4 linked regions of the Lonchura striata genome follow. The protein of the gene in region 3 interacts with the protein of the main gene of each other region in a pairwise test. Links are inferred from orthologs where the notes say so. Each region holds a gene or a part of one and is shown on either strand. Other genes may lie near its edges. The genes, in order: RBM41, FAM110A, RINT1 and C28H19orf25.

Evidence for each region.
Region 1: the proteins of RINT1 (region 3) and RBM41 interact in binary tests that used the Homo sapiens proteins (3 or more experiments, as listed by UniProt). The two-hybrid records come from large-scale screens. The link is inferred for Lonchura striata from reciprocal best matches to the Homo sapiens genes RINT1 and RBM41.
Region 2: the proteins of RINT1 (region 3) and FAM110A interact in binary tests that used the Homo sapiens proteins (3 or more experiments, as listed by UniProt). The two-hybrid records come from large-scale screens. The link is inferred for Lonchura striata from reciprocal best matches to the Homo sapiens genes RINT1 and FAM110A.
Region 4: the proteins of RINT1 (region 3) and C28H19orf25 interact in binary tests that used the Homo sapiens proteins (3 or more experiments, as listed by UniProt). The link is inferred for Lonchura striata from reciprocal best matches to the Homo sapiens genes RINT1 and C19orf25.

What each region holds. Positions count from the first base shown.
Region 1 is NC_134616.1:18,475,904-18,483,159, reverse strand, and holds the start of RBM41 (RNA-binding protein 41), read left to right. Parts: upstream 1-4,247; 5' UTR 4,248-5,038; coding exon 5,039-5,223; intron 5,224-5,323; coding exon 5,324-5,516; intron 5,517-7,256. Other genes in the region: nuclear pore glycoprotein p62-like, read left to right, coding at 1-76, 463-574, 1,095-1,161, 2,299-2,390. UniProt on the Homo sapiens protein: May bind RNA.
Region 2 is NC_134619.1:7,439,803-7,446,245, forward strand, and holds FAM110A (protein FAM110A), read right to left. Parts: upstream 1,510-6,443; coding exon 508-1,509; downstream 1-507.
Region 3 is NC_134607.1:59,931,820-59,939,604, forward strand, and holds the start of RINT1 (RAD50-interacting protein 1), read right to left. Parts: upstream 3,004-7,785; 5' UTR 2,915-3,003; intron 1,873-2,914; 5' UTR 1,854-1,872; coding exon 1,677-1,853; intron 1,519-1,676; coding exon 1,277-1,518; intron 1,116-1,276; coding exon 942-1,115; intron 865-941; coding exon 715-864; intron 1-714. Other genes in the region: PUS7 (pseudouridylate synthase 7 homolog), read right to left, coding at 4,748-4,884, 5,556-5,647, 6,678-6,807. UniProt on the Homo sapiens protein: Involved in regulation of membrane traffic between the Golgi and the endoplasmic reticulum (ER); the function is proposed to depend on its association in the NRZ complex which is believed to play a role in SNARE assembly at the ER.
Region 4 is NC_134630.1:6,186,771-6,193,653, forward strand, and holds C28H19orf25 (UPF0449 protein C19orf25 homolog), read left to right. Parts: upstream 1-4,450; 5' UTR 4,451-4,524; exon of another isoform or gene 4,525-4,528; intron 4,529-5,196; 5' UTR 5,197-5,222; coding exon 5,223-5,370; intron 5,371-5,443; coding exon 5,444-5,619; 3' UTR 5,620-6,378; downstream 6,379-6,883. Other genes in the region: REEP6 (receptor expression-enhancing protein 6), read left to right, coding at 703-796, 1,505-1,643, 2,980-3,148, 3,769-3,818.

The sequences.
Region 1 (7,256 bases), on a different chromosome or scaffold from region 3:
CCCCTCTGGAGGAGTCTGTGAAGGAGCAGAGCGGGACCATCTACCTGCAGCACGCAGATGAGGAACGGGAGAGGACGTGAGGCACAAACCTGTGGGGATGGGGGCCGAGCACTGGCCTGTGCCCACAGCCCTCAGCAGGAGTGGAGCTGGGATGGGTGTCAGGATTAACAATCAGTGCCTACCGTCAGATATTTATTCCTGGTTTATGCACGGCAACTTTAGATTTTACTCAGAGTCCTCCACTCTCTTGCTGGTCTGTCTCCATGTGTAGCTCAAGGGAGACAGAGCTTGGGAGTCCCCTCATGTGGGTGCTGGAGCCTCCCTGGGTGCAGCTCCCAGTCTCTGCCAGCCTGGGCTGCAGCTGTGGCAGCTGATGCTGATGGCCCACAGCTGGTGTGACTGTGAGCAGGCCCTCCAAGTTGGCTTTGACCATTCTGATCTTGGTTCCTGTGTGCTCTGCAGCTACAAACTGGCTGAAAACATCGATGCTCAGCTGAAGCGCATGGCACAAGATCTGAAGGACATTATTGATCACTTGAATACATCAGGAGGCCCAGCAGACTCGAGTGACCCGGTAAATGCAAGCTTTTATTTTATGTTGCTGAAGAGGCAAATGATATTGAAATAATTCTAACTCTTAATTTGTCCCCATGTGGATATTCCACTTATACTTTTTCTTCATACTATTTTTATATCCTCATAAAACAAGATCTGTATAACCAGCTCCTGATATCTTTTAAATTGATTTTGATGCTCCTTAGGGCTTTGCCCAGAAGCTTTTTTCTGCAAAAATTTCCTTTTAGTATTTTAGACTGAGTTTACCCACATTCATTTTGAATTTTGCCACCTTAAGCCTAAGGTTATGAATATTCTGCTGGTTCCTAGGTCTTAAATTAAGATAAGCCAAAGTCACAGACATGTTATCTAAACTGTTCAGTTTTCTTGCTGCTATGGAATAGCCAAGTAGCAGTGTTGCTGCACACACTTCCCTGGCTTAAGTGGCTGCTCTCTTGGGAAAGGCATAACTTTGCCTTTGACTCCTCCTGGTGTTTATGCCGTCTCGCAACTAACTTGCACCTTCTCTCTCTGCTCAGCTTCAGCAGATCTGTAAAATTCTGAATGCACACATGGATTCCCTGCAGTGGATTGACCAGAATTCAGGTGAGATTTGTCCTGCAGCCTTTTGGCAGTGTGAGTGGGAAGCAGGAGCTGTGTGTGAGTGTTCATCCCTGAATTCCTGAGGATGCCTGAGGAATCTTCCTCCTCAGCCTTCAGTGGCATTGTCCCTTCTGACATCTGCTTGAATTCTGCTGCTGTGCCTGATGAGAGGCCTCTGCTGGGAAGTTACTCCTGACAACTGGTATTTTTACCCAGAAAGCCCTCCTTGAATTGCGTCAGTACAAAGCAGAGAACTTGAAAACCTTATTCATTCTGTCAAACTAATGTTAAATAGTTCAGCTTCTAAAGATTGTGTGGTTTCTCTGTGGTGCAGGAAAATTGGTGAGGGAAATGTGTGTGTGTTGAGTGTTACTATCCCTCCCAGTCTGAAAACAGGAAGTCACATCCAGATAAGATGGAGCAGCCTGCCTTGATCTGCAGGTGGGGTAACTGCAGGAATAGTATGGGAATTTCACAACCTCCAAAGCTTGAGTTCCATTGCACACAGAGATGCACTCAGGAATAGGCACTTGACAGTGGAGTCATACTAAAACAAGACAGAAAAAAGGAAGTTTTCCCTCTGGAAGAGTGCCTCCTGGTGAGGGATTCTGGAATTTTGTGCCGTTTGGATTTTAACTGGTAGCAGCCACACGGGGGCACGGCAGAATAAAGCAGCTCTCCTCTCAGAGCCCCAGAGCCTAGTTACAGTGCTGTGAAATGCTCACACCTGGGGTAACAACTTGCGTGAAAGCAGACCTGCTCTTCTTCATGTTGGCTTAGGTCAGGGTCTAATTCGGTGTTTTCTTTCAGAACACTCCTGCTAAGCTTCCCATTCTAAACATGCCTTTTTCAGCAAATCTGGTACAGCTCCTGTGCAACCTGAATTTACATAATGTGTGTAAAAATAGCTATCTGTTTGCTTTAAACTTTCCTAGAAAGGAGACAAATTTTTTCTTTTGCCATTAAATAACGAAAACATTGTCTTATTGGTAGTACTTTGGGTTGTGTTTTCCTCCTGCTTTATCCACTGACAAATCTGAGTGACTGTCAGCAAGGAATTATTTTTCTTTCTGCAGGCAAAACTGTGCAGGGTTGTGTTCTGGGGTGACTGTGACATTTAATCCCTTGTTTCTGCCACAGCTGTGCTACAGAGGAAGGTGGAAGAGGTGACCAAGGTTTGTGAGAGTCGCCGCAAGGAGCAGGAGCGCAGCTTTCGGATCACCTTTGATTGAGACATTCCCAAGTTCAAAGGATGAACATAAAACCTCCACAGAAAACAGAGGTGTTTGGGAGCTGAGGACTGAAACAATGACCTGGTTTTATTTCTTTTTTTACAATAAAATGTGCTGTTTGTTCAAAGCCAGTCTTTGTGGTGTTGGACTGGATTTCACGTGCTCCTATCAGAAACTGGATGAAGTCTGCAGGAAGTGTGTACTCCTTGTGCTTTAGCTGTGCCTGCAGACTGGTGAGGTAACAGAAATGCTGTCTTGGAGGACTCCTGCGTGCTTTTGCAGGAGGAGGCTGCAGAGGTGGCTTATGTGAGAAGCTCCAGAAGCTTCCACCATGTCCAGCAGGGCCAGTCCCTGGTGGCTCCAAATGATGGACAGAGTTGCTGGCCAGGGCTGGGCCAGTTAGATATGGTGGTAATGACTCTGTGAAACAGCTTTTTAAGAAGAAATAAATACAAATTTGATGCTCAGTTGTAATTGCAGCCAGAGAAGAGAGGGGTGAAAATCTGTGAGGGGAACAGCTCTGCAGACACCAAGGTTAGTGAAGGAGGGAGGGAAAAAGGTGTTCCAGGTGCTGGGGCTGAGATTGCTCTGCAGCCTGTGGTGAGGACCATGGTGAAGCAGCTGTGCTCCTGCAGCCCATGGAGGAGCCCCATGCCAGAGCAGGGGCATGCCTGACAGGAGGCTGAGCCTGTGGCTGAGGTGCCCTGCTCCCAGGCTGGAGCAGCCTGTCCTGGAAGGACTCTGTGGCAGAGTGCCCCACACTGCAGCAGTCTGAGGGGGCTGTTGCCCATGGGATGGACTTCTCACATCAGAGAAGTTCAGAGAACTGTCTCCCATGGGGAGGACCCCACAGTGCAGCAGGGGAAATACTGCTGTCCCTGAGCACCAGGAAAACCAGGGGTGACAAACTGACCATAACCCCCATTCCCATCTCTCTATGAACTGATAATAAGCCCCATTCCTGTGTCTCTATGAACTGCTCATGACCCCCGTTCCCATCTCCCTATGAACTGACCATAACCCTGATTCCTGTCTCCCTTTGAACTGACCATAACCCCAATTCCTGTCTCCCTTTGAACTGACCATAACCCCAATTCCTGTCTCCCTTTGAACTGACCATAACCCCCGTTCCTGTGTCTCTATGAACTGACCATAACCCCCATCTCCGTATGAACTGACCATAGCCCCATTCCCGTCTCCCTGCGCTGCTGGGGTACGAGGGACGGGTAGGCGAAGGTGTTTCTAAGGGCTGATTTTACTTCCCATTACCCCGCTGTGCTTCAGTTATCAAAAAACTCCGTTCCCATCTCCGCCTTAAGCCCTTTGCCCGTGACGACACTCGACGCGAGATCCCTTCCGGTCCGTGTCTCAAGCCGCGAATTCTGCGCTAAGTGTCGTGCGTTCGGCCGCGGAGGGGAGCGGCTGTCCCCGGGGCGCCGGGCACACCGTGCGGCTCTGCCGGGCGGGGCAGCGCTGCGGGCAGCGCTCGGCTCGGCTCGGCTCGGCTCGGCTCGGCTCGGCTCGGCTCGGCTCCTCCCGGGGCGGCTCCCGGCGGGCGCTGCCGGGGCCCGGCGTGCGGAGCGGCGGGGCCATGCGCCGGTGAGCGGGGCAGGAGCGGGGCGGCCCGGCCCCGCTGCGGCGGTGCGGGAGCGCCTGCGGTGGAGGATCTGGGGTCTGGCTGCTCCGCGCAGCACGGACCCCGGAAAGGGAAAAGCGCTGCTGGAATTCACCGTTTCTCCTCGGCGTCGCGGTTTCACTTTCCTCCCTGTCTCATTTGGAGCTGGCAGTGTCTGCTGTGGAAAATGCGTGTTTTATGATTGGCTTTTCGCAAATTAATGTTATATGTATAATGTTAGAAAGTTATGGTGTATTAATTCTCTTAAGGACTCTGTTAAATATAGTTTTAGGTTACAACATAATGTTGAAATAGAAATCTGTGATGTAGGATTTTTTTACTAGCTCAAGCAAGACATGAGGTAATCAAAAAGCTCTTCACACAGAGGTGACAGTGACTTGGGGCCCATGAAGAGCTACTGCCTCCTTATCAGAAAAGACAGTCTTCCACCTTCTCTCCATCTTTATGGAACCACCGGGATTAAGGGGAAGAAGTTGACAAAAAACAGAAAAGTTCTTAATTTGCAAGGAATTTATGCATCATGTAGGATATATATGAATATGCAACAGGCTATTGCATTTAAGGTTATTCCTTTGTTCACAAAGTATGCTTTTTGTGACTTAAGTGTCCAAGAGCATCCATAATTCTTTGCTTTATATTGTTTTGTTATGGTCCTAACTCTAAACTTTATTTCTCTAATTGTGTTACTATTTTTATAACCATTTTATTATTATTAAACACTTAAAATTTTAAAAACCAAATAATGGGTGTTTTTCACACTGGCTAGATGCTGATGCAAGACGATTTCGGTCAATAAAAATTATGGCGTGTGATTTTAAAGTAAACAAACAACCCCCACACCAATATAAAAACACCCAGAGGCTCCTTGGGGTACTTTTATGTTCTCCAAGGAATCCCAAATTTGTTGACTTTTCTAGTAATGTTAAAGGGAGCTGTGGTCAAGTAGTTTTGGTTTCTTGTTTTTTTAAAATCCCATAAAACCAGCGCAAGAGGTGGAGGAGCTGTAGCAAGGATGTGTTTTGAGCAGTGTTTCCTCTATTGCCTGACTGCCCATGCCTGTGCTGTGGTTGTGTGCCCCAGGGTGAACAGCAGCCTGTCCAGTGATGAGCTTCTCCTGGAAGACTTGGAGACAGAAGGAGAGAGGCAGCTGAAGAGCCTCCTTCACCAGCAGCTTGACACCACTGTCTCCATCGAGCAGTAAGTGTGGTCTGGCCCAGGTGTGGTCTGAGCAGCCCCTTGCTGTCCCCAGTTCCTCAGTGCTGAGCTGTCTGTGCTGGCGTGTTCCTTTGGCTCACAGGTGCAAGTCAAAACGGAGATGCTTTGCTCCTGCAGCTTTTTACAAACCTTTCGGAGAAGAGGCTGCGGGGGCTTTGACCCTGCCACAGTTCCAGGCCCTGCAGGAGAGTGACAGAGAAACCTCGTCTCTCCGGGAGCTGGGGCTCTCCGACTCGGAGATCCTGCTCTGGAAGAACCGGGACTCGGCAAGGAAGGTGGGCATGCTCTGCTCTCACCTGAGCGTGGTCAGGTTCCTCTAACCCCGTGGCTCTCTGGTAGAAAATTCCAGTCCTTTGTAAGCCTTTGGTAAAGAATGGCCTCTCCTTGTATCCCTTGCCTTTAGCCCAGCACTATCCTACATTTCTTCTGGCCTCTTTTCTTTGGTGGAATGGTCAATGTTAAAAGATATGGTGGAGACAGGAGTGGGTCCTTTGGAACACAGCAGGATGTGAGGGTATTCCTGCCTTTGCCTTGATCTCAAATAAATCATTTCACCTCTTTATACCTGTGTATGAAGGATTTAAAGGCCAGAAGAGAAGGAGAAAATATTTCAAAGCATCTCAAATCCTCCTTTGAGTATCCTGATAAATCCCTGGATCCCATTGCTGATTTGGGATGGCTGTTTGTAGGGGGTGTTCTCCTTAGGGGCTTGCATGTCCTTCAGGGGCTCTGGGACAGCCACATGAAAATAGTGCAGAGCTGTCAGACCACTGTGTGGTCTGTGCCACCACCACTGTGTGGTGGCAGTGCCTTGGTGCCTCCTTGGATGCTCTTCCAGCAGGTTTCTCCCCTTCCCCCACTTTCACCCTTTTTTTTCACATTCCAGAGTCAAGAGGCTTTTGTGGTTGTCTGTATCAGGTGCATTGGAGTGTCCTGCTCTTAATCTGCCAAACTAGAAAATGCAAAACAGGAGTTGGGCTGATCCTTGGCTTCCTTTTGTCTCCTGTTCCTGAGTGATAGCTGTGTGCAGGAGAGTTGTCTGTGGAGAGTTGTCTGTGGTCATCAGTGCTTTGCCTCTTTTCAGCTGAAATCATTCCTTGCTTTGGTATTTAAATGGAAATCCAACCGTGGTGTGGCCTGATTAAAGCTTGGTGCAGAGAGGAGTGGTGTTAATTTAAGAATGAAAATCAATGTCGTCAGTACTAGCTGTTATATTTAGTATGAAATGTATTCTGGGATGTTCAGGAATAATTACTTGTATGGAAAACACTACTCTGACAGAAAATAAGGCTGACATCAGGGTATGTCTTCTACAGAAGAAGACATATTTATAACAGAAGAGAAGAATATAAGAGAAAAATATTTAGGGAGAAAGCCTAAGTCAGTCAAAGCCTATGCAGCTTTGGAGGTGGAGGCCCTGAGTGAAAGATTCCATCATGAGTGATGAATAATGTCAGCTGAAACAGAGAGAACTTCAGATTGCCTGGGGAGCTCTTGGCAAAGTACTGAGTGCGGATTTCTGTTATTTTCAGCTGCTAAGTGGCAGCTTTTTTGAAAACAAAGTACAACAAATGATTTCCGGGAATTGCTTTTCCGTATAAACAGCCTTTTGTGCCTCAGGGAAGCTGTGAAATGGTGAATGGAAGAAGCTGTGCAGATGTGGGGCAGAGGTACCATGGGAAACTCTGTTAGGCTGTGCTCAGTGCAGGGAGAAAGCCTTGTTTCTTGCCTGAGGCAGAAGGATCTGCCACAGGAATTCTCAAACTCAATTTGAGAACAGAAAATCCACCCACAGCCCCATCAAAGTGTGTTCTGTGTCCTGATGGAGGTGGATGGGGGAGCAGAAGTGCCCTTTCAGCAGCTGGGCTGTGTCTGTGTGCTTTGGCAGCATGAAGTGTTGGTGCAGGGAGGTTTGTGTACCCAGGGATGCTCCTTGCTCACAGCTGAGCTGCGGGGGCTGTGCTGCAGCTCCTCTGTGGTTTCTGGAAGCTGGCTCAGTGATGCTGGTTGGGGTT
Region 2 (6,443 bases), on a different chromosome or scaffold from region 3:
CCCCTCACACCTCAAAGCACCAGGCTTTTCTTCAGCAATAAGATGGGACCACCAGGATGTGGCCACCACCCCAGGCAGTGGGACCCCTTCCGTGGAGGCTGCTCCTTCACCAGTGCAGTGTCCCAGCTTCGTGCAGGGGGAACCAGCCCCTTGCACCCCACCCCAGGGTGCTGGTGAGGAGCAGGACAGGCAGGAGCTGCCAGCAGTGCAGGCAGGGCAGCCACACGAGGCCCTGTGGGTGTTGAGGACCAGCCACACACCCAGGGGGACACGTGTCCTCTGCCTTCCCACGAGCTTGCAGGGACCTGGCACAGTGGTGGCACAGGGGTCTGACAATGGATCCCTGGCCACATCAGGCCAGTGATGCTGTGGCACAGCAGGGCTGAGTTCAAGGGTCCTGTCACCACCAAAAGGTCCCTGCTCCTCGCAGGGCACAGCCAGCGCTTTGTCCCCATCCAGCGTTGCCCACTTATGAGCGGCCCATCCCCGGTGCCCACCACGGCACTGCTACACATCGGAGACCTGCTGGGGCTCCCTGGCCTGGCGCAGCCCGTAGAGCCACTTGATGACACGGGCGTTGCGCTCGATGATGGAGATGCCGTAGGGCACACGCTCCGCCGGCCGCCCCTCCGGCGTGGCGGCGCTGGGTGGCGAGTGGCCGCCCTCCGAGCTGGCCGTGCTCACGCTGTGGAACTTGAGGGACACGATGTCAGAGCTGGCGCGGGCGAAGCGCTCAGCCCCCATGTCCTGCATCTCCTCGGGGTCAAGGCCGCAGTAGTTGAAGAAGCGCTCCAGGTCGGCGGTGGCCCTCGAGAGCCGATCGCTCAGGTCCGACTTGGAGCGGTGCAGCAGCGGCTGCCGGCGGGCGCTCTCCGGGCGGGCGGGTGAGCTCCGGGACGGGGTCACAGGCAGCCCACCTGGGATGGGGGATGCAGGCAGAGGTGTCACTGGGCTCCGCGGAGCTCCACAGGGACGGACGTCCACCCTCCGCACGGCCACACTGCCGGGGGGCTTGGTGGTGGCCGGGCTCTCCGGTGGCTTGACAGCCCCCTCCACCTCTGGCGCTTCCGCCCGCCACCTGCACTCCCTGCCCAGCGGGCTCTCCGCCTTAGGGAAGGGGCTGTCGCAGAGGTTGATGAGGTTGTTGAGGATCTCCAGGTCAAGGGAGGTCTTCGGGCTGGCAGCATCGGCGCGGCGTGGCCCCGGGGGTGCCCTGCGGCTGGGGGTGAGCACAGCCCGGCGCACCCCGGCGGTGAAGAGGGGCTGCTTGAGCAGCAGCGGCTTCACCGGCTCCTGCTTGGTGCTGGCGACCTTCTGGCTCTTCACGTACTTGGCCTTGTCGGCCTCCAGCCTCTCCACTGCGCTGGGCTTCCCGGCCCCCGGCTCGGCGTGCCGGCGGAAATACGCGGGCCCTTTGCGGAGGATACGGACGGGCATGGCCGAGGTGAAAGGCGCCGTCACCGTCACCCCCTTCATGGTGTCACCGGCTTGCAGCGCCTCGACGGGCATCCTCCGTGCCGCCACCGGGACACTCGTGAGCGGCCGCCACGGGCAGCGAGGGGCTCAGGTGCCGTGGGCTGCGGAGCGAGAGCGGGGCCGGAGTGAGAGCGGCGGCGATGCTGCCCCTGCCCGCGCCCCGGCCCCGCGGCAGACAAAGACAGCCCGGGCCGTGCGGTACCGCACTCGCTGCGCCCCCGGCTCCAGGCTGCCTATTTGAAGGCGGTCACCACGCCTCCGCCGCTGCCGAGCCTCCCCGACAAGTGCCGCGGCCAATCCGCGCCGCACGCCTGCTTCAAACCGCACCGGGCCAATGGCGCCGGCGGGGAGGGCGCCCCGGTGCCGGCGAGGGGCACCCTGCGGAGACAGTGGCGCGGAGAGAGCCAAGAACCCCTCACTGATGCTCTGCCCAAGTCGCAGGTGCCGGGGGTGCATTGCATGTGCCCATCGTCCATGCTCAGGGGCGCACTGCTCACATCCAGGGGGGCAAGTCCTTCTCCCAGGAGTGCATCGCCCACTCCCAGGGGGCGATTGCACCCAAGGGTGCCTCATCTACATCCTTGCATCACCCGTGCCCAGGGCTGCGTTGCCTGCTCCCAGGCGTGCATCCCCCATGCCCATGGCTCCATCACCCACCACCCCGCCGGGCTGGTGGGCTCGATGCTCCACTCCCCTCTGCTGTTCCCTCAGCTCTCGCAAGCTCCGCGGCTGCTCCCAGGCTCCCTGCTCTCATCCTGAAACTCCTTGGAAAGTAAGTGGAGTGCACGGGGCTTTCCACTCGTGCTTCCCCGGCCGCGGTGTGCTCGGGGCAGCGTGAGGCCCTGTGCACCCCGTGTCCTTGGGTCCCTGCCAGCCCCAACAAGCGCAGCCGCCACAACGGCCGCACAGAGGCACCAGCCCGCCCACAGCAAAAAGGTGGGGGAGGGCACCCAAACCAGCCCCACACCCTTCTGCAGCCCCCTGACCAGAGGTGGACACACCAAGAGTATCCCCGATACCCAGAGGGGCTCAGCAGTGGCAGGGCACACAGGAGCATATGTGGGTCAGACCCCCTCCCCCAACCCCTTTCCAAGCTGCTCTGAGATTCCTCCTGAGGGTCCCGATTTGGGGCACCGATGAGCCCGAGGGTGTGGCAGCAAGCCCCAGCACTCACCAGGTGCAGTGGTGGGCAGGGCAGAGCCGGTGTGCTGTGGCCTCACTCGCTCCCGTAGGAGCGCCAAGCAGGCAGCTGCCACCTTCACCCGCTCAACCTGCGTGCACAAACTTCCTGGGAGCAGCTCAGAGCCTATCCCAGCAGCAGGAGCAGCCCAGAGCCTCTCCCAGCAGCACCCAAAGCCCTGCCGAGCCGTGGCTGTCTGCATCCCCTACCAGCCCACGGGTGCCAAATTCCCCAGAATCTGGACCCCAGCAGGATCCCTGCACAGCACACATCCCTGTGACACGCTGTGACAGACGAGTGGCCATGGGGGAGGCTGGCTGCCCCTCTCCCCATTCTCGTCCCCTGCCTTGGGGGGACATGCTGCCTCCTGACCTGGAAAATGTCTGCAGGGGGGCGGCCAGGCGTGTGACAGCTGGGAATGGTCCCAGCACCGGCACAGATCCTCCTGCCTCCTCCCCGGGGCAGCTTTCTGCACCCCTCTGCCCTACCCCTCAGGTCCCGTGCTGCTCCACCCCTGTGCCAGCTTCACTGCCCTTGTACCTGTGCCCAGCACAGGGAGGGCTCCCCGGTTCAGCACAGGGGTGCAAGAGTGTCCCCCAGGCAAGGCAAAGCAGGAAAATGTCCACACGTCAGGCACTGGAGATCAGCCTTGTACCAGACACTCAGCCAAGCCACAGAGGAGGTGGCTGTGAAGTTTAGGGACAAGGTCATGGGAGCCCCAGCACAGCTGCCAGTGGCCGGTGTGGGGACCCCTCCCCAGCACGGCCAGCCCGGCCGGGCACAACCTGCTGCTCCACATTCCTGCAGTGCTGAGCCACTGCGCTGGCACGGCCACACCGAGCTGGGCTGCACCGAGCCAAGCTGAGCCGAGCGGAGCCGCCCTCCCAACAGCCCCAAAAACTCGGCAACAAACAAATCCCATGCCCCAAACCCAGCTGGAGTGCGGGGATCTGAGCTCTGGGCATTGCCCAGTGTGGCCCCAGCTCCTCTCCCTCCTGGGGTGGGCAGTCCAGCCAGGCTCACATGGCACACCAGGCCACCTCCTGCCTGGAGGAGCTGCTCCAGAGGTGCACGGTTATGACCCCTTCACCGGCTCACCCAGCCCCACTCTGCTGGCACTGGACCAGCACGAGACCATCACCCCCTCTGCCACCCACCTGGATTGGCCCTGCAGCGCGGGAGCCTCGTTGGCAAGGATCAGCTGCCACACTTCTTCTCCCTGCTCTTTCCGAGGATGTCCTGATGGTGTCCTGATGTCCCCAGCCTCCTGCTCCCCAGCCACGTCCTGCCCGTCTCCCCGCGTGCTGGCGGCTGCAGGGTGCCGGAGCGGTTCTGCGTGCGGCGGCTGCCGCTGAGTCAGCACCGGGCGAGGACGCCCTCGGAGGCAACTCAGCGCTCACATGGGATGGAAACCACAGGGCATTCCTGTGTGCCAGGCTGTGCCACGCAGCGTGCGGTGTCTGGTGACCTCCCAGGTGCCGGTTCAGTCCGCGGTGCCGGCTGGGCAGCCTGGATACACACACGGCCCGAGATGCTCACAGTGACAAATCCAAAATGCTTCTGGATGTCACAGCTCGCTGTGGGCAGAGGGTCCTTGTGCTGGGTTAGGGCTTCAGGGACACGGGGGAAATTCCCAGCCTTCCTGTGGGCACCCAGATTCCCTCATATCAGTGGTATGGTCAGTTGGCAGGGCCTGCTTTGATTTGGAAATCTCATCTTGTTTCTCCACTCACCCAGCAGCAATAAACTCCAAAACATAGGAAAATAAACTGGGTAGCAGGAAGGGAAGTGACAGACTGGAACAGGGTCACCAAGCCTGCAGCCACCTGGACCTGCTGGCCTGAACCCAGCCCCACGGTGGCTCCTGCCCTATGGTTCAGGCATCTGCATTCAGCTCTGCACAGAGGGAACAAGCTTTTGGCTCATGCTGTGGAGCTCAGTTACAGCCCTGCATTGTTCAAATGGCTCCTGGAGCAAGACAAGGAGCTGGTGGAGGGAGAAGAGCCAAGGGAAGCTCAGAGTCTGCCCTGAGCCCAGATTTGCACAACGGGCTCAGCTAGAAAATCCCAGTTGGTAGGCAAGGGCAGAGCCCGCAGGCTGCGTCCCCCCACAGGCGCCGAGGCTGTGCGGGTGCAGGCAGGAGGCTGCAGGAGCTGCTCGGGCACGTCTGGCCCGTTGGAGCGGGGCGTTGGATCCAGGCAGCGACCCAAGCCTCGCCCTCCCCGGGAGCATCCCGGGACATGCCCCGGGAGGACAGCCTCCTGCAGGAATGCTCCTGCAGCACCCGGTGCAGCATCCGCACCGCTGCCCAGGAACACATGGACGGTGTTTGTGAGCAGAGGGACAATGAGGCACTGGCAGTGCCTTTGCTCTCACCTTCTACAGACACCCTCGTGCCACTGCCAGGACCTCTTGGATGGTAAATTAAGCTGCCAATGAGCAGAAAACAAACTCAGCACCCAATTTCCCACGTGGAAGTGCTGGGTGGAGGCAGCTAAGGGCGCCTGGCAACACCTGCCAAGCTGCAGGGCTAGGGCTCGTCACTTTGCATGGGCAAAGGCATCCCCAGAGCTGAGAGATCCCCAGCCTCTTCATCTTGGGTGCTTTATTGCAGCCTGTTGCCATGCCCTGACCCAGGATAAGCCACCACTTGCTCCTCCCTCAGTTTCCCCAGCAAGAGCTCTACAGAGCTACTCTAGAAGGAACATGGGGACAGAATGGGGAAGCACCCGCTGCACCCAGCATCACCCCATTCCCTGTGGGCAGAGGGAATGATGCTGCCCGCACCCGGATGTTCACACTCCGTCTCTGCTCAGGGATCTGGGAGCCAGGGAGGTGACAGATGGGGACATGCTGGGCACAAGGCCTTTGTCTGGCCGGTGGTGGCAGCGGCACAGACCCGCAGATGGCGGCTGCCGTGGGGCCGTGGCCGCAGCCCATGGCCAGGCAAGCACTGGGCCCTGGGGATCCGGCCCTTTTGTTGAGGTCTCACCTCCGGCAGCAGCCCCTTCCCTGCTGCCCCCACCAGCCTTTCCACTTTCAACTTGACCTGCTCCTTTCACATGGAAATGGATGCAAATAGGGCTGAGGCTGCCAGGGTCCAGGCTGAGACCCGGCAGCAGGTCCCCAAGTCTGGGGGGGTCATACCCTCTCAAATAGGGTGGCCAGTAGTCCCTGGAGTGAGGGGGTCCCCTTGTCCCCCCATGGAGTAGCAGCCACCCTCTGCCCAGGCAGACCATCCCCACTGCTCACACATGGAAGAAGATATTAGGGGATGGGTCTCACTAGGGCTGAGCTCAAGGACAGACCTCTGCTTTTCTGGGCTGCCAATCTTCCCGTGCCCTCCTGCCACCCTGTTACTCCCATGGCGTGGGCAGTGTGCCCACCCCGGGGATCCGCTCTGCACCCCCTGGCATGCGCTGGCTTGCAGTTGGGATGGGCTCCCCAGCCCTGGCTGGGTGAGGAGGGGGCTTCCTGGAGGGATGGTCATCACAGCCCAGCCAAGTCCCGCAGGCAGGGACCACTCGGCTACCAAATGTTGCCATCTGCTCCGGGGCCTTCGCTCGCATCTGCCGGGGGTGCGGAGGGGCGAGGGGCCGGGGGGCCGGGAGTTCAGCTGGGGGGCGGGCAGGGGGCGGGGAAGGCACAGGCAGCACGCATCGCGTGGATTTGGGTGAGTAGCATGAAGGGGCAACACGGAGGTCCCACACCCAGCACCCCGTCGAGCTGCCTCTGCCCTGTAGCCATTCACCCTTGGGAAGGGTCTCACTGCCGGCTGAGCCGCCTC
Region 3 (7,785 bases):
AAAAAAAAAAAAGAAAAACATCAGCCACAGTCACACACACACAAAGGCTTAGTTAAACTTGAGTTTTAACTGATTTTTTGTGAATTATTTAATTCATAAAAATCAGGGACAGAATAAGCTGCAGTGCCCTCTGAGCAACCTCAAAGGCAGACTTATGATTGCTGCACAACAGAAATCCTCCTGCAGTCTCCCCTTTTTGTAAACTCTCCTTCCAAGACAGGTATGTTTAGTTTTCCCTTTTTTTCCTTCTGGGACAGGACATATTAAAGTAGTTAAATCTTATTTCACAAAAGGCTTTAAAAGGAAAAGCATTAACTGTGTCTCATAAAACACACATCACCATTTTTTCATTAACATGCATGGGTAATGGTTCCAAACAGTGTAAGGCCACATTCTCATGCAACCTGAACTGTCAGCTACCATGAGAGCACTGGATCTGATGACTTGGAGTTAAAATGTTGGTACTGACAAAAAGGACAACTTTGGCACTTGGCATTTTATAAATGCCAAAACAAACAAACAAACAAATAAAAAACCCACCCAAAAAAAAAAAAAAAAACCAAATCCCCACAACATTCTACTGTTAATACAAAGTAATATAAATTATATTCTGTCTTTAGGGAGAATAAAATTTTAAATAATTCTCCTTGAGAATGTACATCTCTAACAGTTTTTATTTTTGCTAAAATTCACTGCAAGGATTTAAAAGGATACGAGGTTTGCAGTTTCAGAAGCTGACAGAACAGCATCTCCAAGCTGTTGTACACCTCAGGAGCATTGGCTGGTGCAGCAAGGCCAAATGCCTGGGACTGAGGTGGCCCCACAAAGGGCCAGCGGAGCTGTGCCAGCACCTCCTCAAAGTCACTGCAACACAAAATAATCACCAGGACATCAACTGACAGTACAACATAAAGATGAGAGAGTCACAGTATCTCTCTTACCTTGTCAATTTGTCCTTAAGGATTTTATGCCAAAATTTAACAGTGGATCTCACAAAAGCAAGAAGATGAGAACAAGATGACTCCTGAAGTTTAATATCCAATTCTGCCATGAATGCTAGAGTACTGGCTGCCTCTGGAACATTGTTGGTCAGCAGATATTGCTGAATGCTATCACTATAAAACACAAAAAAAGACAAGGCCAAATATTCATTAATGACAACAGAAAAGAATAACTTGTATATTGAAAAGTAAAGACAAAACTTTTTTGAATTTAAAATATTTTAATAATAAACCAGGTCACCAGTCTCAGAACATACCCACTACTCAGAAACTACCTGAGCTCTTCTATGCGAGAAATCCACTCGAGGTAGGCCAGGTGTCGCTCGATCTCTTCTACCTGACCTATCAGCACATCGAGATCCTCCATCCATGGCTGAGCTTTCAGCAAGTGGCTACTGATGGACTCAGACAGAACAGTTTCCTCCTCCAGAAGCTGACTCAGAGACTTTTTGGAATCTTCTGCATTCTTTAAGGCTTTCTGAATTCTTTTAGGGACTTCTGACGAAACTGTAAGTACCTGCATTGACAGAGATGCATCAATGCAGACACAAATCCACTGCACTGTGTAGAGCAGTACTATTTGAGATACTGGTACATTTCATTTAGTTTCATATTCTCAATCAGTCATACAGCATGTTCAGAAGAAAAAAAGAAAAGAAACAGAAAGATGCTTACCTGTTCTTCTAAGTGCTTTTTGTTTTCAGATAGCTTTTCAATCAGGCTGTCTAGTTTCCCCAGGGAATCATAGTCACTTCCAAGTTCTCTTTCCACAAATTCAGAAACATAGTATGGGATATCACAGTGGTCTAGATCTCTAGTGACTTCTTTCTTTCTAACAGCAATGCTTGCCATGTTTTCTTTCTCTGCAATACTGAGTATACAATTTCTAGTTAGCTGACACTAAGACAGCACAAACAAATATTATCTACTGAGGAACAAAACTCCATGAAAAGCTGGGCAGTTCAATTTAAACTGAGACTGAAATACCATATTCATTAATTATACTGCTTTAAGTGAGACAATTTACTGGCTTAAGTCTGAGGTCTGATAAAACCTTGCTGACATAACCAACTGGTGATTTATTATATATTAACTACTAAAGATAAATACATCTGATAATTTCTTCCTTCACCAAAAGCACAAATTCTATTAAAAATAGTTCAAGAAATATGTAGTTCCTACATATATAATATAGAAAACTTAATAAAAACTACAAAAAAATTTGTAAAATAAAAAGGAAGCTAAGGTTCCACTTTCCCTTTTCACAAGTTTAGGAAATTTTAGAGATTCCAACACATGTCTACTGCATTACTAGCAAAGTATCCATGTGGGCCTTATAATAATTTGGAAAGTAAATACATCAGTGAAGTTTTAGCCCAAAAAACCCACACAGTATAACTTAAAAGGTATTTGCTGATCCACACATTTGGCAGCATTCAGAGAAACCCAACATTGAGAGGATGTCCACAGTGAAACAGAAAAGGCAACAGTGACAACTGTTTGGCCAGATCAATCCTCAATTTATCCGCGTCACTTTCAAAAGAGTATTTAAAAATAAAAACCGATACACTTGCACTTCATCTGCTACAAGCTTTAATTAAAACCCCTACTAAACTGACAACAGGAGCGAGGAAGCGGCGCAGCTGATGAGCCAGAGTTGCAGAGACAATAGAGAGCACCAGGAAGAACAAACTGGGCGACCAAGGGTGCTGCAGAAGAATAATCGAATAAAGAAAACAGAGCAGTAATACTCCTGTTTGCAGCAATGTAAATACTAAACGGCAGGAAAAAAAACAACCAAATGGTGCTCCTTTCATACTTAGTGGGAAGGCTCTGGTTACACAAGGCAGGAACAGGACTCCGGCGCATCCCTCCCAGCAGCTGCCCGCTCAGCCCCGCGGCCCAGCACCCACCTCGGCCAGCGGCCGGGCCCTGCCAAGGGCCGGCTGCAGGCTCCGCGGGCTCCGGCAGGCTGCGAGCGGAGCGCCGCCGCCCGCGGCCCGGGCCGGGCGGCCGGGCAGCCCCTCAGCCCAGCGCCGCTCGGCGAGCCCTTCCTCCGCCGCCACGGCCGCCGCTTCCCTGCCGGGCCGGGAGCGCCGCGGGGCCGCCGCCCGGAGCCGTCACCGCCGCCCGGAGCCCTCAGCCGCCGCCCGGAGCCCTCAGCCGCCGCCCGGAGCCGTCACCGCCGCCCGGAGCCCTCAGCCGGCGCCCGGAGCCCTCAGCCGCCGCCCGGAGCCCTCAGCCGCCGCCCGGAACCCTCAGCCGGCGCCCGGAGCCCTCAGCCGCCGCCCGGAGCCCTCAGCCGGCGCCCGGAGCCCTCAGCCGGCGCCCGGAGCCCTCAGCCGCCGCCCGGAGCCCTCAGCCGCCCGCGGCCGCGGCACCGCCCCCGCCGCGTCAGCGGCGCCGCGGCCGGCGGAGCGCGGGGCGCAGGCGCGGCGCCGCTCCCGGGAGCCCCGCGGCGCTCCCGGCCCGCGCTCCCGGGACACGGCCCGGCCCGAGGCTGTCCCGCCGGCCCGAGGCTGTCCCGCCGGCCCGGGGCTGTCCCGCCGGCCCGGGGCTGTCCCGCCGGCCCGAGGCTGTCCCGCCGGCCCGGGGCTGTCCCGCCGGCCTGAGGCTGTCCCGCCGGCCCGGGGCTGTCCCGCCGGCCCGGGGCTGTTCTGCCCCGCGCTCCCGGGACACGGCCCGGCCCGAGGCTGTTCCGCCGGCCCGGGGCTGTCCCGCCCGCCCGAGGCTGTCCCACCGGCCCGGGGCTGTTCTGCCCCGCGCTCCCGGGACACGGCCCGGCCCGGGGCTGACCCGCCGGCCCGGGGCCTGTCCCACCGGCCCAAGGCTGTTCCGCCGGCCCGGGGCTGTCCCACCGGCCCAAGGCTGTCCCGCCGGCCCGGGGCTGTCCCGCCGGCCCGGGGCTGTCCCGCCGGCCTGAGGCTGTCCCGCCGGCCCGGGGCTGTCCCGCCGGCCCGGGGCTGTCCCGCCCCGCGCTCCTGGGACACGGCCTCACACCTCTTGGCCTCCCCCGCCGCCTCTGCCACGGCCGGCGACAGGACTAGCAACGCTTGGCTGAAAAGGCCACGTCTCTTTAGAAAGCTCCCACAGGATTTTTTTCCCCCAACAGCAAGGCATTCCCCGCCAACAAGCGACAGGCGCAAAGGAAGCGCTCACTGATACACGCTCAGAGTTTCAGGTTAGTTTATTTGTAGTACCTGTTCTTTGGTACAGGTATTAGCTGGAAAATACAAGTGTTTTCTCAATGAAAAGTCGGACATATTTAAAAGAGCTGTGCAGCTTTACAGCACATAAAAGCCTTGCTAAAAGAATCTGCTACTGCATCAGTGCAAATGCTACTAGCAAAACTCCAGCAATACATATGTTCATCAGTATCTTAATTTTATTGTAATTCATCTCTCCCCGTGTAATTCATTGTATTTGAAAAGACTTCACGGGCAGCTGAACTCCTGAAAACATTCAGTGCTTGCCCAAAGAAAGCAAGCTAAACATTCTTCCAGGTCTGATGCCATTATAAGCACAATTCTAAAGATACACCTCAAGTTACTCATTCAGTAAAAAGCACCAGTCACTAAAATCCTTATTATATTACAGTCACCATCTTTCAAAGGACTACTGAAGTTAAATGCTAGCACTAAAAAAACTTAAAAAAATACAAATTTTTTACTGTGACTCTTTAAAGATTTGTACAGAACATGTAAATAAGAAAAACATTGTTAAAATCAAATAATTGTGCAGTTCACTCAGCGCAACCAGGTAGTATTCAGTTGTGTCTGGTTTTTTATGCTTGTGTCCATTTTCAAAACTTCTCGAATCGCCATGGTCGCGTAAGTGGATGGGGGAAGGGAGAACTCCATCTTTAGTGCCCTGAATTTGCCATCTATCAGCAGGTGTAAGAGACAAAAAACAAGAACAAGTGGTTAAGGGCATATATAATGCTTATTCTGGATGCCATCTAAACTGAACTAACAGTTTCCACAACCAACTTTCCCAGCCCATAAAGCAAAGCAACCACCACCATCGCATTCCTGTTTATAATCCAAGTGAAAATTTTAATGAAACAATTTAACATTTTCTCTCAGGACAAAGTGGTGGTTTCAGAGTTTTCTTCTTCTAAAAGCAAATATTAATTCTTTCAGACTCAATTCCTAGCCTGTCTTCGCTTTTCTGGAAAGCAGTGTCAAAACACCTTATGACCAGAGTTAAGTATTTCAGTCATCTGTGTTCAGCATCAATAATACAAGCTCAGTATATAGACAATTTGTGACTTAATTCCACCTTTGTTAGTTGCAGACATTTACTGCTAGGCATTTACTTGATTTTACAGATGTCTGTAAGAAAATGTAGCAGTCAATACAGATGCTGGAGGAATGGCTTTCACCCTTGAGAAATCGGGGTCCTTATTTAGATGCCTGTCCTGTTGTTACCACCACTTAACAGTCAATATTTAAGTGAAAGCTCTTCCTTAAAGGAGATTTGACTATGCAGCAATTGAAAGCAACAGCCAGATCAAACTTCCCATTTAGCAAACCAGCAGAAAAATCAACTTACCTGTAGGGAGTACTGGTAATGGTTTTCCTTCCAGTTTATCCAAATCCGTAGTAAATAATGGGATTTTAGGATCATCATATGCAACAACTTCCCTTTATAACATACATAAAATTTATTATTATTTAAAATTATTTAGGTTAACACATTTTATATAAATGTGTATTTATTACAATATTATTTTTTTATTATTATTATTGCAGTTTGGCATTTACAACTGAAATTGAATTAGGCAAAATAATGAGTAAAGCTTTATGTAGAAGATTTGCCTTGGCTTTATGAAGATTGTCAAAAAACAATTAGTGAGAAGCTTCTTTGCATAACTCATCTGCCTGCCCTTGTGTGCTGTCAGAATTTTCAACTACACAAGAAGTATAGTTCATGAAATTAAGGGAAGACTGGTGTCAACTCTAAGAGTACCTAGCACAAGTGAAGCCTTTCAATAGTTATCCAAACTTTGAATGGGCTAAGATATTCTACAGTTTCTGCCATTCATTTAACATAAATCCAATATGTAACCATGAGGCTGAAAAACTAACTGGGAAGTAGACAAACTTAATATTAATTAGTGCTGATGTTTCAAGTATAAATATTTGTATTTCTGTGCTCCTAAATCCTCTATATTTAATTCTATGCATCAGTGATAGTGTTTTCCTGCACATTTGTACAGTTTCCTGTTTAAAAGGTATTTACTCAGTTGCCATATGAAAACTAGGCTATATCTCTAACAACAGTGATTTAGTAGGATGAAGTGACACAAATTTTTCTGATTGATAGATAATTTGAGACCAACTTTTTTATAGCAAGACTACAAAAAACCCTATTCTGAATATTAGCTATCATTGTTTCAACCTAAGTATTATCTATGAAGTGTTCAGGCAAGTCCTTGCAAGGAGTGAACAACTAGCTAAGATGTCTTGATACTCCTCCACCACAGAACTAGAGAACCAAGGAAAAGGCTATAGTTCCACTTCAGCTGCATTAAAAACATGAGAGAAGTGCAGAGAGATTCCTTTCTACCTATGTTTCAGTCTGTGTGGATGTTCCATGGATCAGTCTCATGTTGTTTTGTATTTAAATAAACTCTATGCTAGCAAGTGTAATCTCCTTTATGCTCCAACTCACCAATTGACATTCTGAGGCCGAATGATAATTTTTCTGTATGCTCCAGAAAGTGAGTAATCTCTGATTTTATGCCTCATGTTGTTGATATCAAGGTTGTCAGCTACCAGCATCTCCTTGTAGGCCTCACCAACTGTAAGAGAGGAAAATATAGTAGTGTTACCAATTTAAGCAGACTGTTTTCATGGATTGTTCTCTTCCCTTAAATTTAGCATATATGCTAAATATGCATATATGGGATAAATACTGCACAGAGTTTAAATGTTTACTTCTACACCCTGATTAGCATAGGCAGTAGCCAAGAACACATCAAATCAAATTTCAGCCGAAAACAAAATTTACAAAATACTTTATTGACATTTAAATGTCATCTCATACATGCATTCCAATTTTCTAGACTTCACAGGACTAATCTCAGGTATATGGTGAAAAAAAAAGGGCCAGACTACCCATTACTCTCTCATTAAAAAGCAGCAGAGAGAAATCAGTTGACAATTTGACAGTACAAGAACAGTTCAATCCAATATTAAGGAAAATGTGCATGGAACTCATGACTAACCCAATCTATAAGAACACATAGAACAGGTGAAACCTAGGGGCAGCTACAAAGAGGGACTACACCAGCATTGTCCAGGTACACAGAAATGGTGTTAGGAAAGCCAAAGCTCAGCTACAGTTGAAAGCAGCAAATGACATCAAGACCAGCAAGAGTTCAGCTGCAACAGAAGGAATACAAGGAAAGTGATGGCCTGGTGCTAAACAGGGCAGCTGGTCTAGTGACAGACATAAGGCTGATGGTCTCAAGGCCCCTTTTGCCTTGGCCTTGACCACCTTAGAGGCAAGGTTAAGAAAGAGGGACTACCAGTAGTGGGCAAAGATACAGGCTGGCTTATGTCATGGTGAAGTTTTTCTCTTATCACCTCAGAGATTGTGCAGATCTAGGGATGTCCCAGACAAATGTGGAAAACAAGTGCTGCACCCAACTTCAGAAAGAGCAGGAAAGATAATTAGGGAATTAGAGACCAGTCAGGCTCACTTTGATTGCTGGGAAAAATAATGTAATCTTCTCTGGGCATACAATGACTGTGGTTTTAATATGAGGGGAAAAAAA
Region 4 (6,883 bases), on a different chromosome or scaffold from region 3:
AGCCCCATCCCAATCCCATCCCAATCCCATCCCAATCCCATCCCAGCCCCATCCCAGCTCCATCCCAATCCCATCCCAATCCCATCCCAGCCCCATCCCAGCCCCATCGCAGCCCCATCCCAGCCCCATCCCAGCCCCATCCCAGCCCAATCCCATCGCAGCCCCATCCCAATCCTATCCCAGCCCCATCCCAGCCCCATCCCACCCCCATCCCAGCCCCATCCCAGTCCCATCCCAATCCCATCCCAATCCCATCCCAGCCCCATCCCACCCCCATCCCAGCCCCATCCCAGCCCCATCCCAATCCCATCCCAGCCCCATCGCAGCCCCATCCCAGCCCCATCCCAGCCCCATCCCAATCCCATCCCAGCCCCATCGCAGCCCCATCCCAGCCCCATCCCAGCCCCATCCCAATCCCATCCCAGCCCCATCCCAGCCCCATCGCAGCCCCATCCCAGCCCCATCCCAGCCCCATCCCAGCCCCATCCCAGCCAGGGGAGGGGGTCGCGGCTCCCTCGGGGAGGAGCAGCCTCCCCCGTGCCTCGTTCCATCCAGCACCTCCGCGACGTGGAATTAACCCGGCGTGGCTTTCACCCCCTGGCACACGCCCGTGCCTGCTCTGGGATGAGAATCCCGCTCAGGAGACCGAGCGGGGTCTCCCCCGGTGGCAGCAGGCTCCCGAGCATCCCCTGTGCCCCGCAGGCTCCCTGGCTTTCCTGGGGCTGTACCTCATGTTCGGCTACGGCGCTTCCCTGCTCTGCAATGTCATCGGCTTCGTCTACCCCGCCTACCTCTCGTAAGTACCTGTGCCGCACCTGCAGAGCGTGCCCTGCCCTTCGCTGAGCTCTCCCTGCTCAGCCAGGAGGCGATTATTGCTGGGAAGCTCTTGAGACCTTCCTGGAGAGGCTGGGACCGTGCCAGCCCAGAGCAGCCAGTGGGCAGGTTCCCTCCGGGCTGGGGGGTTTGGGAAGGTGGAGCCCAGCCCGGGACTGCAGCAGCCGTGTCCTTCCTTCCTTGTTTCTTTCCTTGTTTCCTTCCTTCCTTCCTTCCTTGTTTCCTTCCTTCCTTGCTTCCTTCCTTGTTTCCTTGTTTCCTTCCTTCTTTCCTTCCTTGCTTCCTTCCTTCCTTGTTTCCTTGTTTCCTTCCTTCCTTCCTTCTTTCTTTCCTTCCTTCCTTGTTTCCTTGTTTCCTTGATTCCTTCCTTCCTTCCTTCCTTGTTTTCTTCCTTCCTTTCTTCCTTGTTTCGTTGATTCCTTCCTTCTTTCCTTGATTCATTCCTTCCTTCCTTGTTTCCTTCCTTGCTTCCTTCCTTCTTTCCTTGTTTTCTTCCTTCCTTGTTTCCTTCCTTGTTTCCTTGTTTCATTCCTTCCTTGTTTCCTTCTTTCCTTGTTTCTTACATTGTTCCCTTGTTTCCTTCCTTCTTTCCTTGTTTCCTTCCTTGTTTCCTTGTTTCATTCTTTCCTTCCTTGTTTCCTTCCTTGTTTCCTTCCTTGTCCTTCCTCAGCATCAAAGCCATCGAGAGCAACAGCAAGGAGGATGACACCATGTGGCTCACCTACTGGGTGGTCTACGGCGTCTTCAGCATCGCCGAGTTCTTCTCCGACCTCTTCCTCTACTGGTTCCCCTTCTACTACGCCGGGAAGGTAACGGCCGTGCCACGGCGGCATCGCTCACATTATCAATACAGTCAACCAAAAAGAATGATAACCAGAAGTATTTTGCAGACTTAGCAAAAGTACAGGTCAGAGAGTATTCAAGAAGACTGATTCATTCAATTCAAAAGTATCTAACATTTATCCAAAGCTCCTTAGAGTGCAAGATGAAGCAAGTCCCAAAAAGTGAGAGGTTACTTTGGAAAACTCATGAATAGTACTTGGGGTTTTAGAGGTTTGGAAAAGGACAAATAAAATTTCTGGTTTTGGAAGGCATGAAGAAAAAGCCTGTGGGGGAAAAAAAAAAAAATGAATGCAGTTTCAGTTCCTGGTAAAATAAAGAAGCAAGAAAACAAACCAAAATTATAATATAGCTATTTGCAAAATATTAATGAGCTGCAATGGAATCATCATGAAGAGTTGTGCAATCAGTCAGTATGGGCTGTTAGTGACTTAGCACGTGGCAAGGCCTGAGGGGATGGGAGAGGAGAGAGACAAGAGGATGCTCCAGGAGATGGGGGGAGTTCCAAGAGGGGGGAAGATCCAAGAGAGCCTCTGGCCCCTCAGAGACCCCTTATCAGGGGGCTTCAAGGTGGGCTGGAACAAGATTTAGGCCAATGGGGTCACAGACACCTGATGTTTCAGGTGTGGGGTGAACTGTACATTTTGGGGGTTGAAATGGAATAATCCATTTGACTTTTGGACTTATCTGTAGGTAAGGGTATTGTCCAATGTAAGGAGGATTGTTTTCATCCTGGCCGTATTATCGTAAATCTTTTGCCAGGCAATTATATTTATTCATCCTTCCCAACAGGTGTCCAAAGAGGCTCCCTGAAACAGAGGCTAGATGGTGTTAAAGGAATAAAGTGGGGATTTATTAAAAATCTTTCGCAGGATACACCTTGGGCAGTGTGAGAGCCCGGCCGTGGCTACACCCAGGATGGACCCGCCGGGTCATGGGTTTTCACACTTTCTAAGTTTTGGTCCATTTTGAGCTTAATTGTCCAATTCCAGCTCTGGGTTATGCAGTCCCACGCTCCCAAGTTTGCTCTCCTAAATTTGCTGCTGTCGATGCTTTTTGGCCTGAAGCTGCAGCAGCATCCTTGGTTCTGGGGCTGGAAAAGGACTGTGGGCCTGAGCTGTGAGAACTGGCTATGAAGCCCAGAGTTATAAACTAATGCAGTACAGAACCTGGAATATGTGAAAACTGGAATTTGAGGCGTCAGAGGGGCCGCAGCCAGCTCAGATCCCGGGGGACTCCAGTGAGCTCCAGCTTTGGGTGCTGCTGGGTGGCCCCGGAGCCACTGAGCCCCTGCTGTGCCCGCAGTGCCTGTTCCTGGTGTGGTGCATGGCCCCAGTGCCCTGGAACGGCTCCCAGCTCATCTACCACAGCATCATCCGGCCCTTCTTCCTCAAGCACCACCGCGCCGTGGACAACATGATGGGTGACATCGGCACCAAGGCTCTGGACGCCGCCTCCAGCGTCACCCGAGAAGGTAACTCCGGTGGCCCACCCGGTCCCTCCCTCCCTCCTGCTCCGTGTCCCGGTTTTCCCAGCGAGCTCGTTAATTACCGGCGGGGGATTGATCCCTTCTGGTGCCCGTGGGCCCAGCCCCGTGCCGGGAGCCCCGGGGGTCACGGTGCCCTGTCTAACCTCTCTCTCCTCTCTGCGCTGCGCGGTCCAGTCCTGCAGACTCTGGCCAAGAGCAGAGCCCGGCTGGCGGCCGGGGTGGCCCCGCAGCCCAGCCTGCCCGTAGGTACCGAGCGGGGCCCGGGCCGGGTCCCGTGTCCGCCGTGGCACCGCCCAAAACCCGCTCTGTTCCCGCACAACCGGCCCGTTCTCCCGTGGCGTGCGTAGGGCAGGCGCTCCCCTCCCGCTTCTCCGTAGCCAGAGCCCGTCCGTGCGTCCATCCGCGTGTCCATCCGTCTGTCCATCCCCGTGCCCGCGGTTCCCCCAGCGCTGCTGCTCGCCCGGGGCTCCGCGGCGGGACCGGCTGTCACCGCCGTGCCCAGCGGGACGGGGAGGGAGCGGGACGGTGACGCGGGGCCGGGCAGTGCCCCAGGACACCGGGCACTGCCCCGGGGCCGGGCACTAACGCCAGCCGTGTCTCCGCAGGCATCAAAGCACCCCTGAACCTGACAGAGTTAGTGCAGAAGGCGAAGTGAGAGGGGCACCGGGGCCATTGGTACCGGCACTACAGCGCCGGTACGGGCATCAGTACCGGCACCAGCGGCCCCAGTACCGGCACCGTGCTCCCAGTACTGGTACCGGCATCCTCCGTTCTGGCACCGAAGTTCCCCGGTACCGGCACCGTGCTCCCGGTATTGGTACCGGCATCCTCCGTTCTGGCACCGAAGTTCCCCATACAGATGCCGGTACCGGCACCATACTCCCGGTATTGGTACCGGCATCCTCCGTTCTGGCACCGAAGTTCCCCGGTACCGACACCGTGCTCCCTGTACTGGTACCGGCATCCTCCATTCTGGCACCGAAGTCCCCCCTACCGGCACTACAGACGCCGGTACCGGCACCATACTCCCGGTACTGGTACCGTCATCCTCCGTTCCGGCACCGAAGTTCCCCGGTACGGGTACCGGCAGCATGGCCCTGTTACCGGTACCGGCCAGCCCGGGATCCCGAATTTCTCCAGTCCGAGTCCGTTGTCCCCCAGCCCCCCAATAAACCCCGGTGCCCACCGAGCGCCGCTCCCGTCCCGCGCGTTCCGTGACCCCGCGCGGCGCCTTTAAGAGCGGCAGGGGGCGGGGCTTAGGGCAGGGGGCGGGGCTGTCTCAGTGACGTCACGGGGCGTGGCGGAAGTGCGGCCGGGGTCCGTCCGTCTGTCCGTGTGTCCGTCCGTCTGCGCTCCCGGGGGTCGGTCTGTCCGCTGGGGGGACCGGGGGGGCTCTGACGGTGTGTCCGGGGGGCGGAGGGGGCCGGTTTGTCCGTGCGGGGGTGGGGCTCTGCCTGTCTGTCTGTCTGCCTGTCTGTCTGTCTGTCTGTCCGGGGGCGGGGGCAAGGAGGGGTCTATCCGTCTGTCTGTCCGTCCAAAGGGCGGGGTGGGGGACTCTGTCCGTCTGGGGGGAAGGGAGTGAGTCTGTCTGGGGGGGGGGGGGCAGCAGAAGGGATCTGTGTGTCTGTTGGGAGGCAGGTTTGGTGTCTGTCTGTCTGTCTGTCCGGAGGGGAAGGTTTGGGGGGGTTCTGTTTGTCCTTCCAGGGTTACAGTGAGGGGGCTCTGCTCCGTCTGTCTGTCCAAAGGGCAGCACAGGGGGTCTGTCCGTCTTGGGGGGACAGAAAAGGGGAGGTGTCTGTCTGTCTGCTTGTCTGTCTGTCTGTCCGTCTGTCCGGAGGGGAAGGTTTGGGGGGGTTCTGTTTGTCCTTCCGGGGTTACAGTGAGGGGGCTCTGGTCCGTCTGTCTGTCCAAACAGCAGGATAAGGGGGTCTGTCCGCCTTGGGGGGACAGAAAAGGGGAGGTGTCCGTCTGTCCGTCTGTCTGTCCGTCCGGGGGTGGGGGCACCGCCGCACCCTCACCTCCCCGCTCCGCAGCGTCTCCCCCATGAGCCTCCCCCGGGATGAGCTCCAGGGCCAAGCGGGTGCTGCTCACCCGCCCTGAGCCCCCCAGCGCGGAGCAGATCCTGGCCGACGTGCAGGGCTCGCACCCCTCCGACCCCGTGTTCGTCCTCCCCGCCGAGCCCCCCCAGGAGCCCGGCCCCGCTCCAGGTGAGCCCCCGCTGGGCAAGGGGCGGCCGCGGGGACCCCCCGAGCCCCGCTGAGCCCCGGCCCTGCCCGCCAGGCTGCCCCGAGCCCGCGGAGCGGGAGCGGCTGTACCGGCAGATCCGCTCCTACGTGGCCATGAACCAGCGGCTGCAGCAATCCCGGGAGCAGCTGCGGGAGCGGCGCCGGGAGCTGCAGAGGGTCGGGGAGGAGCTGGACCGCGGCATCGCCGAGATGAGGCACAAAGCGTTCTGAGGAAGCCTGCTGGGCGCCTCGGGACACCCCACGCCGTGGTTTCACCTTCCCAAAACCGTTTGCATCGCGAGGATCCGGGTTTGCCGGGGCAGCCCCGGCTGTGCCATCCCAGTGACCTCTTGCCAGGGAGCTCTGCCAGCACGGCGGCACCTTCTTGGTGTTGGGATGAAGGCTTGCACCCCTCCTTCTGCCCCTGAGCCGGCTGCCACGTCCCCCGTGGGTGGCACGTCCTCTGCTCTCTACGACTTTTCCCTCTGGTACGTCCCCGAGGATGACCACGTCGCCTCCCGCATCGCAGGGCGCCTGAGGGAGGAGGGATTTCGGGGCTTCACCGAGCACCAGGACCAAGTGGCCGGGACATCCGTCATCCTGTCGGCCATGGAGGCCATCGAGGCCAGCCGGGTGGCCATCCTGCTGCTCTCGGCCAAGTCCGTGGGCGACCGGTGGTGCCAGCGCGTGTCCCAGTGGAACCTGTTCCGCAGTATCCACCAGCGCGGCCCCAGGGTGGTCCCCGTGTGCGTGGGGGTGACCAGAGCCGAGGTGCCCGCGTTCCTGCAGCACCTCGTCCCGCTGGAATACCAGAACGAGTTCTTCTTCCAGCGGCTGCTGGCCAGCCTGAGGGCCCGCCCGAGGAGCGGGCACCGGCGGGTCCCGCCCGGGGGCACGAACTGAGGCACCGCCGGGGCCGGCTCGGCGGCCAGCACCGCCCCACGGTGTGGAAAACTGCCCTGTTTTGCTAATAAAGGTGCTGGCAATGCATCACGCAGCACCGTGGGCTGTCCTAAATCTCATCAACCCCCATTTTTGGGAGCTGAACGTGCCGCTTTCTGTCTGGGGGCGGGGGATGGTGTGCGGGTGTGTCCCACCCTCCCAGGCGCGACCTTGTGGGTGCTTCTTCCCCTTCCTGCCCTGCTCCGCTGTCACCCGCGGCTCGTCCAGCTCGGCTGCACCGGGAGCCGCGGAACGGGCGGGATGGGGCCGAGCCTGGGGCCGCTGCTGCTGCTGCTGCTGCCGCCCCTCCCGTGGGCTGAGCCCCGGCCCGGTGGGGCCGGTGGGGCCGGCGTGGGCTCGGACGCACCGGCCGGGGCGGTGGCTGGTGCCGGTGGGGACGGGACCCGGCTCCAGCCCTCGATCATCGGGGGACACGAGGCCAAAAAGCACTCCCGGCCCTACATGGTGCTCCTCCAGCTCGAGGGGAATCGCTCCTGCGGGGCAGCGCTGCTGCACCGGCGCTGGGCGCTGACAGCCGCGCACTGCCTGCGTG